4 linked regions of the Saccharomyces cerevisiae S288C genome follow. The protein of the gene in region 1 interacts with the protein of each later gene in a biochemical or structural test. Each region holds a gene or a part of one and is shown in the gene's direction. Other genes may lie near its edges. The genes, in order: TIM50, JAC1, HSP60 and TIM17.

Region 1 (5,653 bases):
TTCTTCTAGCGACAAAAAGTTTAATGCTAAATACGTCGCTGAGGCCACTGGTAATTTCATCACTGTAATGGATGCTTTGAAACTAAACTATAATGCAAAAGATCAATTACATCCCTTATTGGCTGAACTGTTAATCAGCATAAATCGCGTCACCAGGGATGATTTTGAGAATAGATCAAAACTCATTGACTGGATTGTCAGAATAAATAAACTCTCAATTGGTGACACTTTAACTGAAACACAAATTAGAGAACTTCTGTTTGATCTAGAACTAGCCTATAAAAGTTTTTATGCTTTACTGGATTAAGAAATAAACAAATAGAAATTATGATAACATATATAAGTACACAAGCGTTTCTATTTCACTTTAGAATATTCTTGTTTTTTATTCGTTCTTGAAATTTTGACAACATTGCCAAAGTTTCCCGCTCTCTTTTATCCATTGGTTCTTCCTTGATGTTTTCTTGACTTTCCGTTTCTTTAGTGGTTGCCTCATCAACATTATCATGCAACTCCGTCTTTTCCCTAATTAGTGCCTCTTGTGGCTGATCTAAGGATGCGTCTAGTTTAATTCCTTCACTGCGACTATCATCTTTGATCCATGCTGGGAGAATCATTCTCTTTCTTGGCTTAAGCTTTTGAACATCACCATCATCATCCTCTTGCTCATCTTCATAAACCATCTTTACTTTTGCTGATTTCACAAGTTTCTTTGCCGGCTCTTGTTCTTTTTTTTCATTATCTTCCAGTCTTCTTTTTGATCCAAAGATGTCCTCAAAGAATGGTATGGTAATCTCAACATCCTTCAAAACTGCAGGATACATGAATCGTTTGACATCATTGTCACGGGAGGAAGCTTCAATTTCGCCGCCCAAGATCTCTCTAAAGATGTAAATAGATTTCCCAACAATTTTGCCAAATACATTACAATCGTTCAGTACGTGCTTAGAATCCGCCAGCACAGTTATAAACCATGTGTTCCTTCGTCTATCCCATCCCAAGAGTCCATCTCTATTGAAGCGTATACGAGGATTTTTTTCCTCAGCAACTGTACGGTACTCACCAGTACTATTTGCATTAAACATTAGCCACTGTGTTGGCTTTAACTCTTTAAATTCTCCATTGGTGAATGTGCCATCTGAGAGCATAGATAAGAACCTCTTACATGTCTCAGGGCATTCTTTAGCCCATAATTCAATGGCAATGTTCCCCTTTGTTGTATACAGTATACATTTAGCTGTTGTCTGAGGTTCTATATTACTGGACATAGCATTCTTACTTTGGTTTAAAACTCATCATACATGTTTCCTGTAATACGCTTTGAATAATAAATTATTCAATAAATTATTCTCAGGACATTTTGAACCTTTTTTTCTCTTCAGACGCTTTACAGCGGAAAAGGAAAAAAAAAAAATTGGAAGTTCTTTCAGTAAAGTGAGATATATTCAGCAAACGAACATAACGTCAGGATTAATCGGAACGGTAATTTCTAGCATCCACTCAATTTCGTGATTAGCTTTTGGCGCATAACTGATTTTTTGCTTTAGCACATCACAGCTAGAATAAACTTCCAAAAATCACCCGCTTGCAATGCTGTCCATTTTAAGAAATTCGGTGAGACTAAATTCAAGGGCTCTTAGGGTTGTGCCATCTGCCGCCAACACCTTAACATCGGTTCAAGCATCCAGAAGACTTTTAACAAGTTATTCAAGTTTTTTACAAAAAGAAACAAAAGACGACAAGCCTAAATCCATTCTTACAGATGATATGCTGTTCAAGGCCGGTGTTGACGTCGATGAGAAGGGCCAAGGCAAAAACGAGGAAACATCAGGAGAAGGAGGAGAGGACAAGAATGAACCTTCTTCCAAAAGTGAAAAATCTAGAAGAAAAAGACAAACTTCTACAGATATTAAAAGAGAAAAGTATGCTAACTGGTTTTACATTTTTTCGTTGTCTGCGTTGACAGGTACTGCAATCTACATGGCAAGGGATTGGGAGCCTCAAGAGTCTGAAGAATTGAAGAAAGACATCGATAATGGCTACACTTTATCACTTATGTATAAAAGATTCAAGGCCAGGTTCAACTCAATGTTCACCTACTTCCAAGAGCCACCTTTCCCTGATTTACTACCTCCACCACCACCACCACCGTACCAAAGGCCATTAACTCTTGTTATCACATTGGAAGATTTTTTGGTTCATTCTGAGTGGTCTCAAAAGCATGGTTGGAGAACGGCCAAAAGACCTGGTGCTGACTACTTCTTGGGTTACCTATCGCAGTATTACGAAATTGTTTTGTTTTCATCCAACTATATGATGTACTCTGACAAAATCGCTGAAAAATTAGATCCAATCCATGCATTCGTATCTTATAATTTGTTCAAGGAACACTGTGTTTACAAAGACGGTGTGCACATTAAGGATCTGTCAAAATTGAATAGAGATTTGAGTAAAGTAATCATTATTGACACTGACCCTAACAGTTACAAATTGCAACCTGAAAATGCTATTCCAATGGAGCCATGGAATGGTGAAGCTGATGACAAATTAGTAAGATTGATTCCATTTTTGGAGTACCTTGCCACTCAACAAACCAAGGATGTTAGACCAATCTTGAACAGCTTTGAAGACAAGAAGAACCTAGCAGAAGAATTTGATCATCGTGTGAAAAAATTGAAGGATAAATTTTACGGAGATCATAAATCTGGTGGCAACTGGGCAATGACGGCACTAGGTCTCGGAAATTCCCTGGGCGGCAGCACCAAGTTCCCGCTCGATTTGATTCATGAAGAAGGACAAAAGAACTATTTAATGTTCATGAAGATGATTGAGGAAGAAAAGGAAAAAATTAGAATACAGCAGGAGCAAATGGGCGGGCAAACATTTACGCTGAAAGACTATGTTGAAGGTAACTTGCCTTCGCCAGAAGAACAAATGAAAATACAATTGGAGAAGCAGAAGGAGGTAGACGCCTTATTTGAAGAGGAAAAGAAAAAGAAGAAGATTGCTGAATCCAAATAATTTTCATGTAAACCCTCTTCTCATGTATCTACGTATCTATGTGTGTATGTAAATGTACCTGTACACTCCCCACACCCTCATTTTGTTACTGTCATGTGAATAAAACTTATGTATATTGCTAACTTACTACCACTGCACCTCCTAACATCACCATACTACGTACAAACACGCCTATTTATTTTTTCTATGTTAAATTTTAACGATGTAGACACACCTAATGATCTGATGCGCTTTGCATATCTCATATTCCTTCACTAGCATAAAAATCCAAAAAAAAAGAATATTTAGGCCGAATGGAATTATTCGTAACGTCATACGAAAAAAGTTTCAATTCGTACAATGCCTGGCATGTTCATTCGAATATAAGGCCGCCGCCTTCCAGTCAGGGTAGCCAAAAGTATAATCCCGGGTGGAAACTAAACTAAAAACCGTACTCACAACTTTCCGCGGACGCTAACAGACAAATAGACACACTATCAGGTCAGGAACTGCCGTCACATACGACACTGCCCCTCACGTAAGGGCATGATAGAATTGGATTATGTAAAAGGTGAAGATACCATTGTAGAAGCAACCAGCACGTCGCCGTGGCTGATGAGGTCTCCTCTTGCCCGGGCCGCAGAAAAGAGGGGCAGTGGCCTGTTTTTCGACATAAATGAGGGGCATGGCCAGCACCGAGACGTCATTGTTGCATATGGCGTATCCAAGCCGAAACGGCGCTCGCCTCATCCCCACGGGAATAAGGCAGCCGACAAAAGAAAAACGACCGAAAAGGAACCAGAAAGAAAAAAGAGGGTGGGCGCGCCGCGGACGTGTAAAAAGATATGCATCCAGCTTCTATATCGCTTTAACTTTACCGTTTTGGGCATCGGGAACGTATGTAACATTGATCTCCTCTTGGGAACGGTGAGTGCAACGAATGCGATATAGCACCGACCATGTGGGCAAATTCGTAATAAATTCGGGGTGAGGGGGATTCAAGACAAGCAACCTTGTTAGTCAGCTCAAACAGCGATTTAACGGTTGAGTAACACATCAAAACACCGTTCGAGGTCAAGCCTGGCGTGTTTAACAAGTTCTTGATATCATATATAAATGTAATAAGAAGTTTGGTAATATTCAATTCGAAGTGTTCAGTCTTTTACTTCTCTTGTTTTATAGAAGAAAAAACATCAAGAAACATCTTTAACATACACAAACACATACTATCAGAATACAATGACTAAGCTACACTTTGACACTGCTGAACCAGTCAAGATCACACTTCCAAATGGTTTGACATACGAGCAACCAACCGGTCTATTCATTAACAACAAGTTTATGAAAGCTCAAGACGGTAAGACCTATCCCGTCGAAGATCCTTCCACTGAAAACACCGTTTGTGAGGTCTCTTCTGCCACCACTGAAGATGTTGAATATGCTATCGAATGTGCCGACCGTGCTTTCCACGACACTGAATGGGCTACCCAAGACCCAAGAGAAAGAGGCCGTCTACTAAGTAAGTTGGCTGACGAATTGGAAAGCCAAATTGACTTGGTTTCTTCCATTGAAGCTTTGGACAATGGTAAAACTTTGGCCTTAGCCCGTGGGGATGTTACCATTGCAATCAACTGTCTAAGAGATGCTGCTGCCTATGCCGACAAAGTCAACGGTAGAACAATCAACACCGGTGACGGCTACATGAACTTCACCACCTTAGAGCCAATCGGTGTCTGTGGTCAAATTATTCCATGGAACTTTCCAATAATGATGTTGGCTTGGAAGATCGCCCCAGCATTGGCCATGGGTAACGTCTGTATCTTGAAACCCGCTGCTGTCACACCTTTAAATGCCCTATACTTTGCTTCTTTATGTAAGAAGGTTGGTATTCCAGCTGGTGTCGTCAACATCGTTCCAGGTCCTGGTAGAACTGTTGGTGCTGCTTTGACCAACGACCCAAGAATCAGAAAGCTGGCTTTTACCGGTTCTACAGAAGTCGGTAAGAGTGTTGCTGTCGACTCTTCTGAATCTAACTTGAAGAAAATCACTTTGGAACTAGGTGGTAAGTCCGCCCATTTGGTCTTTGACGATGCTAACATTAAGAAGACTTTACCAAATCTAGTAAACGGTATTTTCAAGAACGCTGGTCAAATTTGTTCCTCTGGTTCTAGAATTTACGTTCAAGAAGGTATTTACGACGAACTATTGGCTGCTTTCAAGGCTTACTTGGAAACCGAAATCAAAGTTGGTAATCCATTTGACAAGGCTAACTTCCAAGGTGCTATCACTAACCGTCAACAATTCGACACAATTATGAACTACATCGATATCGGTAAGAAAGAAGGCGCCAAGATCTTAACTGGTGGCGAAAAAGTTGGTGACAAGGGTTACTTCATCAGACCAACCGTTTTCTACGATGTTAATGAAGACATGAGAATTGTTAAGGAAGAAATTTTTGGACCAGTTGTCACTGTCGCAAAGTTCAAGACTTTAGAAGAAGGTGTCGAAATGGCTAACAGCTCTGAATTCGGTCTAGGTTCTGGTATCGAAACAGAATCTTTGAGCACAGGTTTGAAGGTGGCCAAGATGTTGAAGGCCGGTACCGTCTGGATCAACACATACAACGATTTTGACTCCAGAGTTCCATTCGGTG
Region 2 (2,789 bases), on another chromosome or scaffold:
TTAGGATTGTTATTAGAATAGTGTGTTGAAGGCTCACATTTGCTCACTATATAAAATGACGGCTTTCATACAAGTTTCGAAGCCAAATAACCGTATCACGTCACAAATACGTTTCTTGACATTCGGAGGTTCGCTATAAAAGTTAATTAATGGTCGAATCCCCTCCGTTTCGATTTCGAAGAGAAATAGTCTTCCCTCCAGGTCAGTGATCTTGCCAGATTGCATAATGTCCAGCAATTCCCATAGCGGGAGTAATCCCGGCACCACATTAGGAATACCATTTGGAGCATGGCCATTGTGTTCTTTCAAATGGTAGATGGTATCTAAATCTTCCTCTTCGTACGGTATACCGTAAAGTTCTTTCAATTCCAATGCAGATTCATTTGCAGATTTAAACGCACACCCTCCCACACCGTATATTTCCTCAGCAATATTCTTGTACTTGACAACATTATCAGTGGGAAATCCCTCCCCTCTTCCGGTTTCAGAGTCAACGAGGTAGAGCTCCTTAGTAACTTTCGTCTCTTCTTCACCTATGACAAAGAGTTTGCCCCTAGAAATCATATCCTGAATGGGTTTCAATGGGATATATTTACTGTGACACACATCCAGTACTTCCGCACCATAGTTTGCTTTATAATTCATCTTCGGACAGTCCTCAATATAGTACCCCAGGTAATAGTATTGCAGATTTGTCCTTTGAATGATGGCAAGATCGCGCAAAGCACTGAGCTTCCCTAGGGACCATTTACTGTAGTCTGGATCCCAAATAAAATATACCGAAGATATACCACTGGGCAAGATATCTGACACAGTGATGGCAATTAATTTACCCTCATAGTAGTAGCATTCGTGCACAGGACCCATATGCTTCAGTTTCTCGCCTGGCTTCATTCGCTGCCAATTGTTTAACTGCTCCCATGATTCTTGTGTCCCCAACACCGCTTCAGGGCCAAAGGGCGTATCACATAGGAATCGCTTAAAGGACTTCGGCGAATTATTGTAGTCTTGATGCACTTTTTCCTGATATTTGACAAATAAGTGATACTTTTCTTCACTATAAAGTGCAGGCTCAAATCGGGTATAGAATGTTTTAGAATTCATCTCTGCATTAACAATTTTGCCCACAAAATCACTGCTTGCAACAGCGGCTGGGCAGTAGTCCTCACTTGTTATTCTAGTAGCAAAGCGGCTGATGCATTTTTTCAATTCCTTTGTCATATTCAATTCTTGAGGGGCAGTTCGAATGGTGTATAACCTACAACAATTCCTCAACGGGTCCACTTTATAAAGAAACTTACCAGACCTTCTAAATCCCATATTACACATGCGATCATACGTGGCTACATCCATATGTTCCACGAAAGAGCCAATTGTGCAGTTTTCAATCTTTACAACGTCCATTTTGTTCATATAACGATGAGCCCACGAATCCAATGCGAACAACTGATCCATGTTGCCCCCCTTATTACCGTGACAATACCCACACTTTGCGGCAGGTTCATTGTGCATCGAGGGAGCCCAAATAACGAATCTATCGGACATAATTGTGCTTCTTCTCAGTTGTATCTTGAGACTATCTTGTCTTTTGTAACAATAGCAATGAAACTCACAGCGTAATTCTTAACAATAGGTAAAAAAAAAACGAAAAAGAAAAGGAAACTAAAAAGATGATGCGAAATTAAAGGCTGAGGCTGATAATGGAAACAGGTATCAAGAAGCCCCACAAGCACAATGTTGAAATACTTGGTTCAACGAAGATTCACTTCTACATTTTACGAGCTGTTCCCAAAGACCTTCCCCAAAAAGCTACCCATTTGGACTATCGATCAATCCAGATTAAGGAAGGAGTATAGGCAATTACAAGCACAGCACCATCCAGACATGGCCCAACAAGGTAGTGAACAGTCATCAACTCTTAATCAAGCTTACCATACTCTCAAAGATCCCCTTAGAAGGTCACAATATATGCTAAAACTCTTGCGCAATATCGATTTGACGCAAGAACAGACCTCAAATGAAGTAACTACCAGTGATCCACAGTTACTATTGAAAGTTCTAGACATCCATGATGAATTATCCCAGATGGACGACGAAGCTGGTGTGAAGCTGCTTGAAAAGCAAAACAAGGAAAGAATTCAAGATATTGAAGCCCAGTTGGGACAATGCTACAATGACAAGGATTACGCCGCCGCAGTGAAGTTGACCGTGGAGCTAAAGTACTGGTACAACTTGGCCAAGGCATTCAAAGACTGGGCTCCAGGAAAACAATTGGAAATGAATCACTAAAGTACTCCAAAGTGGTAATAGTAATAATAATAATAGTGGTGATATAAAAACTGAAACAATGTAAATAGGTAAAGTACATATGTATATGGTAGGGCAAAGAGGAAAATAAATCAAGGGTTAAACCGCCGGTGTCTCGAACTCGCATTTGGCAAATTCTTCCCAGTCCTCCTCCGTGGATGGATATTGTCTCAACCACTTCATTCTAGGACCAGATACTGCCTCATCATTTATCCTGAACCCAAAAACTTTCAACTCGTAGGACTCTTTACTTTTCCTTTCCACATACTCTTCCAATTCTTTGAAATGTTTCAAGAACACACCAGGGAAGCTTGTCCCCCAAAATGCACCTTCTAAGCACAGGAATCTAGATGATTGGGGAAGATACAAGTCCTGACAACTGGGACAGTACAACCTTACGGTGTGTTTCCCAACTGTATCGCTCAACCCACAAGGCAGCAACTGCATGCCATTACAATAGTAACGGGGGCACGTTCCAAATT
Region 3 (5,258 bases), on another chromosome or scaffold:
AAGTATGGAGTGTATAAAGTTATCAAACAACAACAAAAACAACAACAACGTAAAAAAAATATAGAAGAAATAGAAATGACATATTCTAGTTTTTGATTAATTGTTCAGTACGAAGGAAAAGATTAAGTAAAGTGTCACATAGAATCGAAATCTGTGTCCACATAACGGCCATTTCTCAGTAACGTCTTGCATAAGCGTGGCATAATTTCGACTTGAAGGGGCTCTAGAGGAAATTTCTCGCCATCGACAGAGAACAAGCCGTTCCCTAGCTTTGGTATTATCTTGTATGCCAAAATTTTAGAGTGTAAGACTTCCGGTTGTAAAACATGGGAACCCTTATCTAGTCCCAGCAGGATTGGTGCCATCCTCGTCAACGAGGTTCTTGCATCGGTGATAACCATATCCATTGTACCATCTGAAGGAAGCGCTGCCGGAAAGAATTTAGTGTCAGCAGCCACATATGGCATTTTACCCGTATAGAAGATACCTAGGTTGTTCGAAATATTAGGATCCAATCTTTCCCAGTCACTAGGGATACCTTCATCTAATGGATATTTTATTTTGAAATCTTCCTCTTTAATTTGATCAGCACTAGAATCTGCCAGATCACGAGATATCAAGTGGGAGTCTTCGTCATCCGCATCCGCATCTTCATCTTCATCTTCGTTTTCGGTTTCGTATTCATTTTCGTAATTGTAATTATCACAATCCTCGTTATCTTTGTTCATAGTAATATGCTGGAATTCTAACGACCCTTTATTTTTGTGTTCCAGGTAATGATTTTTTAACTCGTTTTTTGATTTGGCAGCATACTTTACATATATCTCACAAGGATATTTTTTTTTTTGTATGATATTGAAGGCTACACCCAATTCAAACCTTGCAGGTCCCATCCATCTAATAAATTCAGTGTTTATGTCAGTTTCTGCAATGAGACCATATGTTTGACTTAAAAATGATAACTTTGGGTGCTCTCTTGCATAAGAAGGCTGCGAACAACACATCAAATCAATTCTAGTCTCTATCGATTTAATTAAGCATAAAGTTGAGTACGAAGGATTGTTTGTCCAGTGGCAGGATACGCTCATTGCGTTACCTGATCCGCATGGAATTTCTGTAATGGCGATATTGTTGAATGCTTTGACATGATCAGGCCTTTGGTATAACCCATTGATCACCTCATGAGGAATGCCATCTCCCGAAGCGCAAGCAATAGTGTCATATTTGTCAATATCCATTTCCCGCGCGATCTCTATAGCATGACCAGGGTATTTTGTATAAACCACTTCTATGGAACACCGACTTGCTAATAGTAACGGCTTTGCCTTTGTCATAAACAGTTTTTTCGCCTTACCTTTACCACCAAACGGATTAATGATCACAAATATGGATTTGTTCCTTCTAGTGTTTTTGTAGCTTCTCTTTAAAATCTCCTCAACCAAGTCATCTTCTTCTTTTAAGTGAGAAGATGAATGGGGTTTATAGTCAATATACAATGAAACCCTTTTGGGTACAACGTCATGCCGTCTTGGCCTAGCAAATATAACCTCTACTAGTTTCGTAAAAGGAGATCTGGAAGTCAGGAGGCTACTACTACTGTTACTTCCTCGCGATAGCGAGTTGCCCTTCCTTTCTTTTTTTTGGGAAGACTCTAATTCATCAAGATCACACTTTTCACTAATGTTACTCATTGAGCTGCTTAAAGGTGAACTGGGTGATGAATTGGCATCATAATAATGCAGAGGTTCCTTTTCAATGTATCTGGCATCCAGAATTCGTCCATAGGGGATAACGGTGTTTGCTGGCAATTGACCATTCACCGAAGGATAATGAAGTTTTGGATTAGCAGAAAGATCATCTTTACTTGTATCCGTTGTCGATGTTTCCGATCTGTCTATTGTATCAGTATCGCTTAAACAGGTAACACAGCTAATTAGTGAAGCCGTTTCAAATATACTGTTGTTATCACTGTTGCTTTGAAAGCTAGTTCTACTGATGTTGCTTTGAAAGCTAGTTCTACTGATGTTGTCAATGCTGCTGCGACTTCGTTTATCTGCCATTCTATTTGCGTATGTGTAAGGACTTGATGGTTTTGCCTTGATCATTATTCCTTCCTCAGTCAGTATCGCTGACGTTATTTGCTTCTTCCTGGAATGGCGAGACCTGCCCTTACGTCTCTTTGAAGGTTTCAAAGTCATCTCTTTTGGCTTACTGTTTAAATCTTACACTATTTGTGGTTTTTTCGAGATAATATCAAGAGTCCTTTTACTCTTCTTTTCTTTCCTATTTTGCAACACGTATATACAACAGTTTATGCTGTAGTTATACTTTTTTGATTGTTTTTGTATAAATAGATTCGGCTCACGCAGCTTACGTTCCCTTTCTTCTTCGCCTGCGAAGGCTTTAACAAGGCCCGAAAACACCTTGATTTGCAAATCTAACTATGAATCTTGCAGAAAAGCGGTGGCAACTGAAAGGGAAAAAAACATAGATTAAAAGAAAGCAACATAGTAACATAAAGGAAGAGAAAATTTTGATGATAAAGAAGATGAATAATATACCTAATGCATCCAAATGTTCCTCCTGTTATACTATTGGGAATTATTGCGAGTGCATCCATTCGCGCAATGATCAAGTAGAACGCCAAGACTAGTTGTGCAAAGAAGTACAGTTGAAATTCCAGCCAGTTATGTCTCATCCCTATTCCACTGTTTTTGTAGGTATACAATGGTGTTACGAGCAATTGAAGCTGTTTATTGCCTGGTATTACCTCTGGAAACTTACTTTATAGCCGCCCATCTGTATATGTCATCATATACGGACCTCGTGGAATTTTCCAGAAAACCAAATGGGGAGGGTGACTTTAATTTTGCTTCGTTTTGCCCGGAGCAGAATCCAGACGGACATTCATGTATATATATTGAAGGAGACTAAGTTTTACATTCATTATGTAAGGTCGTGGTTGCGTCTTCATGCACTTCCTTGAATAATATAAGAAAATTCCCACGAGAAAACATCATAAGCAAAAAAGTTTTCAAAATGTTGAGATCATCCGTTGTTCGTAGTCGCGCTACTTTAAGGCCTTTATTGCGTCGTGCTTACTCCTCTCATAAAGAATTGAAATTCGGTGTAGAAGGAAGAGCCTCCCTTCTTAAGGGTGTCGAAACTTTAGCTGAAGCGGTTGCTGCTACTTTGGGTCCAAAGGGTAGAAACGTTTTAATCGAACAGCCTTTCGGTCCTCCAAAGATTACTAAGGATGGTGTTACAGTTGCCAAATCTATTGTGTTGAAGGACAAGTTTGAAAATATGGGTGCCAAGTTACTACAAGAAGTTGCCTCCAAAACCAATGAGGCTGCTGGTGACGGTACTACTTCTGCTACTGTCTTAGGTAGAGCCATCTTCACAGAATCCGTCAAAAATGTCGCCGCTGGTTGTAACCCTATGGATTTGAGAAGGGGTTCTCAAGTTGCAGTTGAAAAAGTGATTGAATTTTTGAGCGCCAACAAGAAAGAAATTACCACATCTGAGGAAATTGCTCAAGTAGCAACCATTTCTGCCAATGGGGACTCTCATGTTGGTAAGTTACTAGCTTCAGCTATGGAAAAGGTTGGAAAAGAAGGTGTCATCACTATCAGAGAAGGTAGAACATTGGAAGATGAACTTGAGGTTACTGAAGGTATGAGGTTTGATCGTGGTTTTATTTCTCCATACTTCATCACTGATCCAAAGTCGAGCAAGGTGGAATTTGAAAAGCCATTGCTATTGTTGAGTGAAAAGAAAATTTCTTCCATTCAAGATATCTTGCCAGCTTTGGAAATTTCCAATCAAAGCAGAAGACCTTTGTTGATCATTGCTGAAGATGTTGACGGTGAAGCTCTTGCGGCTTGTATTTTGAACAAGTTGAGGGGTCAAGTTAAGGTTTGTGCTGTGAAGGCGCCTGGTTTCGGTGATAATAGAAAGAATACAATTGGTGATATTGCAGTCTTGACGGGCGGTACTGTTTTTACTGAGGAGTTGGATTTGAAACCAGAACAATGTACCATAGAAAACTTGGGTTCTTGTGACTCTATTACCGTTACTAAGGAAGACACCGTTATCCTGAACGGTAGTGGTCCAAAGGAAGCTATTCAAGAGAGAATTGAACAAATCAAAGGCTCCATCGACATTACCACCACAAATTCATATGAGAAGGAGAAACTGCAAGAGCGTTTGGCCAAATTGTCCGGGGGTGTTGCTGTCATCAGGGTCGGTGGTGCATCTGAAGTTGAAGTTGGTGAAAAGAAGGACCGTTACGATGATGCTTTGAACGCTACCAGAGCTGCAGTTGAGGAAGGTATCTTGCCAGGTGGTGGTACTGCCTTAGTGAAGGCATCTAGAGTTTTGGATGAAGTTGTTGTCGACAATTTCGATCAAAAATTGGGTGTCGATATCATAAGAAAGGCCATTACAAGACCAGCCAAGCAGATCATTGAAAACGCTGGTGAAGAAGGTTCAGTTATCATCGGCAAATTGATTGATGAATATGGTGATGATTTTGCCAAGGGTTACGATGCCTCTAAGTCAGAATACACCGACATGTTAGCCACTGGTATCATCGATCCATTTAAAGTGGTTAGATCCGGTTTAGTTGATGCTTCTGGTGTTGCCTCACTATTAGCTACTACCGAAGTTGCTATTGTTGATGCCCCAGAACCACCAGCAGCTGCTGGCGCTGGTGGTATGCCAGGTGGTATGCCAGGAATGCCAGGTATGATGTAACGACCGCCTTAATTCAAAATTTATCTTTCGTTTAAATATGGTAATAATTTTATTATCTTGTAAATACAATGTGAAAAAAGTTGAGATTTTTAGGAATCACTTTTTCAAGTATAAAGAACTATATATGACTATGAGCTATTATATCTTTAAGTATGACTATATGTTGATAACTGAACAAAGATAGAGAGAGCTACCGCCATAATGTCACTTTTCATTAATGAAATTGACTTATTTTGTTTACAGCTAACGCAAGAGGACTTCGCTAGAAGGAAGAGAAAAAAAGAAAAGAAAATGTTTGGATCGCTCAAAACTCCTAGTATATTTTCAGAGGGCATTCCACATATATTTCAGTTTGTGCCAACGAAAGTTAAAAGAAAAGCAAAAACGCCTCGAAATGTCGTATGTCTTTATGGTAAGATTTTTTTAATACTGTTTATATCCTCATAGGATTTAACTGTCATCAGCATATGGGCCATCGTCGTCATCGTCAGCTGCAGGAT
Region 4 (4,876 bases), on another chromosome or scaffold:
TATAAATGAAGATCTCGTTAGCGTGAACCAAGACCAATCTTCCGCTGAAAATTATGATGACGATCCTCAAATTATTATACTGAAGCCGAACAGGGCAGTAGCAATGTGCATTAAGGAATACTTTACTATTTACGGGAACGATTTTGAAGGTGAAAGTAAAAGGTCGATGTTTCATCAAATGAACGATTTACAGATTATGAAAGCATTGTTTGGCGATAAATGGAGTTATATAGATAGCGTTGGATACTGTGCTGTTCCCATAGCTAGCGTGCCAGCGAATAGATTGAATTATAAGATAATCGAATTTAAAATCCTGAAACCTTGGGAAAGACAAAACTACATTGCTGCCGGTCAACATCGAGAATCTATTATGAACAAGTGGCTAGATCTTTGGCGAGACTTTTTGAACCAAGCAAACTAAATAAGAATAGTACTGCTTTTCCGCAATTCTTCAATATTCATTAAAGGCGGTCCGGTACCCTCTTCATAGTTAATCCCATCATACTTATAATGTGTTTCATTAAAATGCAGTTATAATAACAAAAAATTATATTTTTTTTTGCTGAAACATGCCGGTACACCGTATTTGTAATCACTTCCTTTTGTATACTACCACATAGTCATTATCCTTCTTTTTAATTCCTTTTTTTTTGGTTTCCTTTATCATCACTATATCTGAAAGTTCAAGGTTATTTTAGCACTTCTACATTCTCGGGTGTGGCTAGAATTGGGCGGAATGAAAAAAAAAAACTATGTCCATCGCTTTACTAATTAGTGATCGCACCAAGAAAAACGAGCTGTACATTGCAATTGTACCTCTTTTTTTTTTCCTACTTAGAATCCCAATCGTAATTAATTCACTAAATTAACATCCTTAAAATGAAATTCGACAATGACAGTGAGAAGCAGGTTTTCGATAAGCTTAAAAAAGCGATTCCTGGTATTATCAAGGAAAAATGTGCAGGATACGATGAATTGTATGGTTACAAGTTGAATCCTGAAGGTCTTACACAAGAGGAGGTTGATAAATACTATGACGAAAAAATCGCCGATCGTCTAACCTACAAACTTTGCAAAGCCTATCAATTTGAATATAGCACCATTGTACAGAACCTGATCGATATTTTGAATTGGAGGAGGGAATTCAACCCATTGAGTTGTGCCTACAAGGAAGTCCATAATACAGAATTGCAAAACGTTGGTATTTTGACATTCGATGCAAACGGCGACGCAAATAAAAAGGCTGTCACTTGGAACTTATACGGCCAACTGGTCAAAAAAAAAGAATTGTTTCAAAATGTGGATAAGTTTGTACGCTACAGAATCGGGCTCATGGAAAAGGGTTTGAGCTTATTAGATTTCACCAGCTCCGACAACAACTATATGACCCAAGTCCACGATTATAAAGGCGTCTCCGTGTGGCGAATGGATTCTGACATTAAAAACTGTAGCAAGACGGTCATTGGAATCTTTCAAAAATACTATCCAGAACTGTTATATGCAAAGTATTTTGTTAATGTCCCCACCGTTTTCGGCTGGGTTTACGATTTAATCAAAAAGTTCGTTGACGAAACCACCAGAAAGAAGTTCGTGGTATTAACCGACGGCAGCAAGTTGGGTCAATACTTGAAGGATTGCCCATATGAAGGGTATGGCGGGAAAGATAAGAAGAACAATCTGACCAAGCAAAATGTCACAAATGTCCATCCAACAGAATACGGCCTTTACATTTTACAAAAACAAATCATCGAGGACGTTGAGTGATTTGTTGGCATGATCTAATAATAGTCTCTTATATAAACCCTATAATAATTTCTTATTTTTGCCTTATATTCAGGTAAATCACCATCTAACTGTATTATCTCTCACGTATCTTCACTTATATGGCTCAGAAAACACCGTACGAAACGAAGGGGCTGCGAAAATGTTTCTAGAAGGTAATGGCAATAATAGGGATACAGATCGATCAGATCCGCCTATATAAAAGACAACGCACCGAAGGTGAACAAGATCGCAGATAAAGGTATTTACAAGGGAAAAAAGTCAGCAAAAACAAGAGATAAGATAACAAGAAGAAGATGTTAAGGAGGGAAACTTCAACAATATACAGGACACACAAAAAAAGCAACAGTAGTATACTCAGGAGCCAGCGGGACCAGACTAGAGTGGATTCCTTGGTAGAGGAGTCTCCCATGGGCGATTTCGGGATCAATAACCAGCCTACACAGCCTGGCGTGATATACTACTTTGTAGAGCTGACTAATTTAGGCATACAGGAAAACACAAGCAGTAATAATAACAACAACAATAATCATGGTGACGATGAAAACGGCAGTCGATACGGCCACGGCAGCAGTCTGGGTGGAGACGTTCACTCTCGCCGTTGTTCATGAACTCCAGCATTATAAAGCATATCTAACAATACCATTCGGGTTATACTGAATAGCCCACGCACGGGTTCGGGGTTGTAACGATTATATGCATTTCATAACATGCCACTGTCAGTGGCGCCACGGAAGGATAGCGGGACTTTATCAAATCATTAATTTCTGTGCATAAAGTGTATAGTATATTCATATAGATATGTATATATATCATTGAATACAGAAATCTTCGGGTGTATACAACGAACATTCATCGGACGCCTTTTTTACTGCTATTGTTCAACAAAGTGGGTAACCCGGCATTCTTGCGCCAAAGTTTCCATTTTTATGCCAAATCCAGAGGATAAAAGCACTATTCTCATCAAAAGATGGAAAAGCTGTGAAAGAGTCAAGTTCAGAAGAAAGCGTTAAGAAAAATAGAGTACACGGGAGCGTTATGTCAGCCGATCATTCGAGAGATCCATGTCCTATAGTCATACTAAATGATTTCGGTGGTGCTTTTGCCATGGGTGCCATTGGTGGTGTTGTTTGGCATGGGATTAAAGGTTTTAGAAATTCGCCATTAGGTGAGCGTGGTTCAGGAGCTATGAGCGCCATTAAAGCGCGTGCTCCCGTACTGGGTGGTAATTTTGGTGTGTGGGGTGGTTTATTTTCGACTTTTGATTGCGCTGTGAAGGCCGTTAGAAAGAGAGAGGACCCATGGAATGCTATCATTGCAGGGTTTTTCACTGGTGGCGCTTTAGCTGTAAGAGGTGGTTGGAGGCATACAAGGAACAGTTCGATCACGTGTGCTTGTTTGTTGGGTGTGATTGAAGGTGTGGGACTAATGTTTCAAAGATATGCTGCTTGGCAAGCCAAACCTATGGCTCCTCCTTTGCCCGAAGCACCTTCCTCTCAACCTCTGCAAGCTTAGGCATGTAGACATTATATGAGCCATTTTTTCATCGTTGTTGGAAGTACCCTTATTCGGCATGTTTTTTGTTACATAAATGACGTATCGCACTAGCCTCCTTTACGTTTTTACTTTATTTCAGCCTTTTATTTCAAGATTACCAACCATTTCTCTCAACCATGTACATATTATATATTGAAAAAGTACCATACTTCATCTCTGAAGAGAAAATATCAACAAGCCAAAAGCTAGTGCAGAAACTTTATAATGTTACTTTATTAATTGTAATGACTATACGTATAAGGAAAATTAAGAAAAGGCAAAATTCATATTTATTTAGTATATCATTATGGCACCAAGCCGTAATAAAATGAAATGGGTAGTTAAGAAAAGTCAGACAAAATAACGATTTATTCTTCGACAATGTGAAGTTTATTGAACGCGCTTGTTGGCCCTTCTTGAACAGAATGAGTAACAGCAAAATTATTGGAGATGTCGCCAGATGTATTCTCCTTCCTTTTACTGATAGCACCAATGTCGACGCTATCAGCACCACCAGTGGCAGAGCTAGGATTATAGACATAGTTGTGGCCTGCATTGTTACTAGAGTCGTTCGCACTTCCATATTCACTTTGCTGGCCTTTTGCATCGTCATGTTTTTCTGAAGGACCCGGTAAAGACGATCCTGGAGGAAACCACTCACCTGTAAACTCCTGCTTTGTTATGAAGGGGTGTAGCATAGCTTGTTGTGGTGTCCATCTTTCTAACGGGTTCAAATTTAGCACACCGCCTAAAAAGTGGATCAAACACTCCCTATTCTGCATTTCTTGGTCGATAAGTTCTTGGGAGTTCTGTATGCTTTTAGGATACCTGTAGTTTCTAATAATATCTGGTAACTTTCTCCACTTAAAATATTGTTTACTGGGCTTTTCCACTATATTGTATTCTCTGCAAAACTCTTCAATAGTTTTCATACGATGCTTTTGTGTAGAAGAAGAACTTTCTTCTGGTGCCAATTTCTTCATAAATTTTCCAGAGTTTTTACCCATATCTATCATCCACGATGGAGGATATCCAAGCGTGTCTATTATTCTTGTTAATTGGTTATATTCAGAAGCGCCTGGGAAGATCGGTATACCCAAAAATAATTCAGCAACAATACAACCTAACGACCACATGTCAATACTGGTTGAATACGGTATACCCAGTATAATTTCAGGAGCACGATAAAACCTGGACTGGATGTATGTATAAACGGTTCTTGCCTCTTCGCAAGATGAGCCAAAATCAATAATTTTCAATTCCGGCTTATCAGGTGCGCAGAGCAAGATATTCTCTGGCTTCAGATCGCAATGAATCAGTTTGCTTTCCTTCAAAACGCATAACGAATCCAGTATTTGAGTGGTGAATGTTCTGATAAGTTGTATAGAGAGCCCATGAAATTTGTTTTGTTTTAATAATTCGTACAAATTATTGCTTAGTAATTCAAACACTAAACATAAGTGGTTCTTGTGGACAAAGGAGTCATACATCCTTAAAAAATGATGTTTATTAGTAGGGTCTATCTTTTGATTCAGTAGCTCTAAAATTTTAGCCTCCG

The links.
Region 2: the proteins of TIM50 (region 1) and JAC1 form a complex in vitro, tested with the Saccharomyces cerevisiae proteins (one study listed by BioGRID).
Region 3: the proteins of TIM50 (region 1) and HSP60 form a complex in vitro, tested with the Saccharomyces cerevisiae proteins (one study listed by BioGRID).
Region 4: the proteins of TIM50 (region 1) and TIM17 form a complex in vitro, tested with the Saccharomyces cerevisiae proteins (2 studies listed by BioGRID).

What each region holds. Positions count from the first base shown.
Region 1 is NC_001148.4:428,349-434,001, forward strand, and holds TIM50 (protein translocase subunit TIM50), read left to right. Parts: upstream 1-1,590; coding exon 1,591-3,021; downstream 3,022-5,653. Other genes in the region: ESCRT-I subunit protein VPS28, read left to right, coding at 1-307; putative peptidylprolyl isomerase CWC27, read right to left, coding at 363-1,268; YPL062W (uncharacterized protein), read left to right, coding at 3,547-3,951; aldehyde dehydrogenase (NADP(+)) ALD6, read left to right, coding at 4,240-5,653.
Region 2 is NC_001139.9:458,610-461,398, reverse strand, and holds JAC1 (J-type chaperone JAC1), read left to right. Parts: upstream 1-1,734; coding exon 1,735-2,289; downstream 2,290-2,789. Other genes in the region: ATE1 (arginyltransferase), read right to left, coding at 34-1,545; casein kinase 2 regulatory subunit CKB1, read right to left, coding at 2,407-2,789. UniProt on the Saccharomyces cerevisiae protein: Co-chaperone required for the assembly of iron-sulfur (Fe/S) clusters in mitochondria. Stimulates the ATPase activity of its specialized Hsp70 chaperone partner SSQ1, to mediate the transfer of iron-sulfur clusters from ISU1 to GRX5.
Region 3 is NC_001144.5:662,784-668,041, reverse strand, and holds HSP60 (chaperone ATPase HSP60), read left to right. Parts: upstream 1-3,039; coding exon 3,040-4,758; downstream 4,759-5,258. Other genes in the region: sphinganine kinase LCB5, read right to left, coding at 135-2,198; glycogen (starch) synthase GSY2, read right to left, coding at 5,209-5,258. UniProt on the Saccharomyces cerevisiae protein: May participate in assembly and/or disassembly of proteins imported into the mitochondrion. HSP60 are ATPases and have affinity for unfolded proteins.
Region 4 is NC_001142.9:144,281-149,156, forward strand, and holds TIM17 (protein transporter TIM17), read left to right. Parts: upstream 1-2,820; coding exon 2,821-3,297; downstream 3,298-4,876. Other genes in the region: IDS2 (Ids2p), read left to right, coding at 1-421; SFH5 (Sfh5p), read left to right, coding at 880-1,764; ROQ1 (Roq1p), read left to right, coding at 2,079-2,393; IRC9 (Irc9p), read right to left, coding at 3,539-3,931; serine/threonine protein kinase YAK1, read right to left, coding at 3,687-4,876. UniProt on the Saccharomyces cerevisiae protein: Essential component of the TIM23 complex, a complex that mediates the translocation of transit peptide-containing proteins across the mitochondrial inner membrane.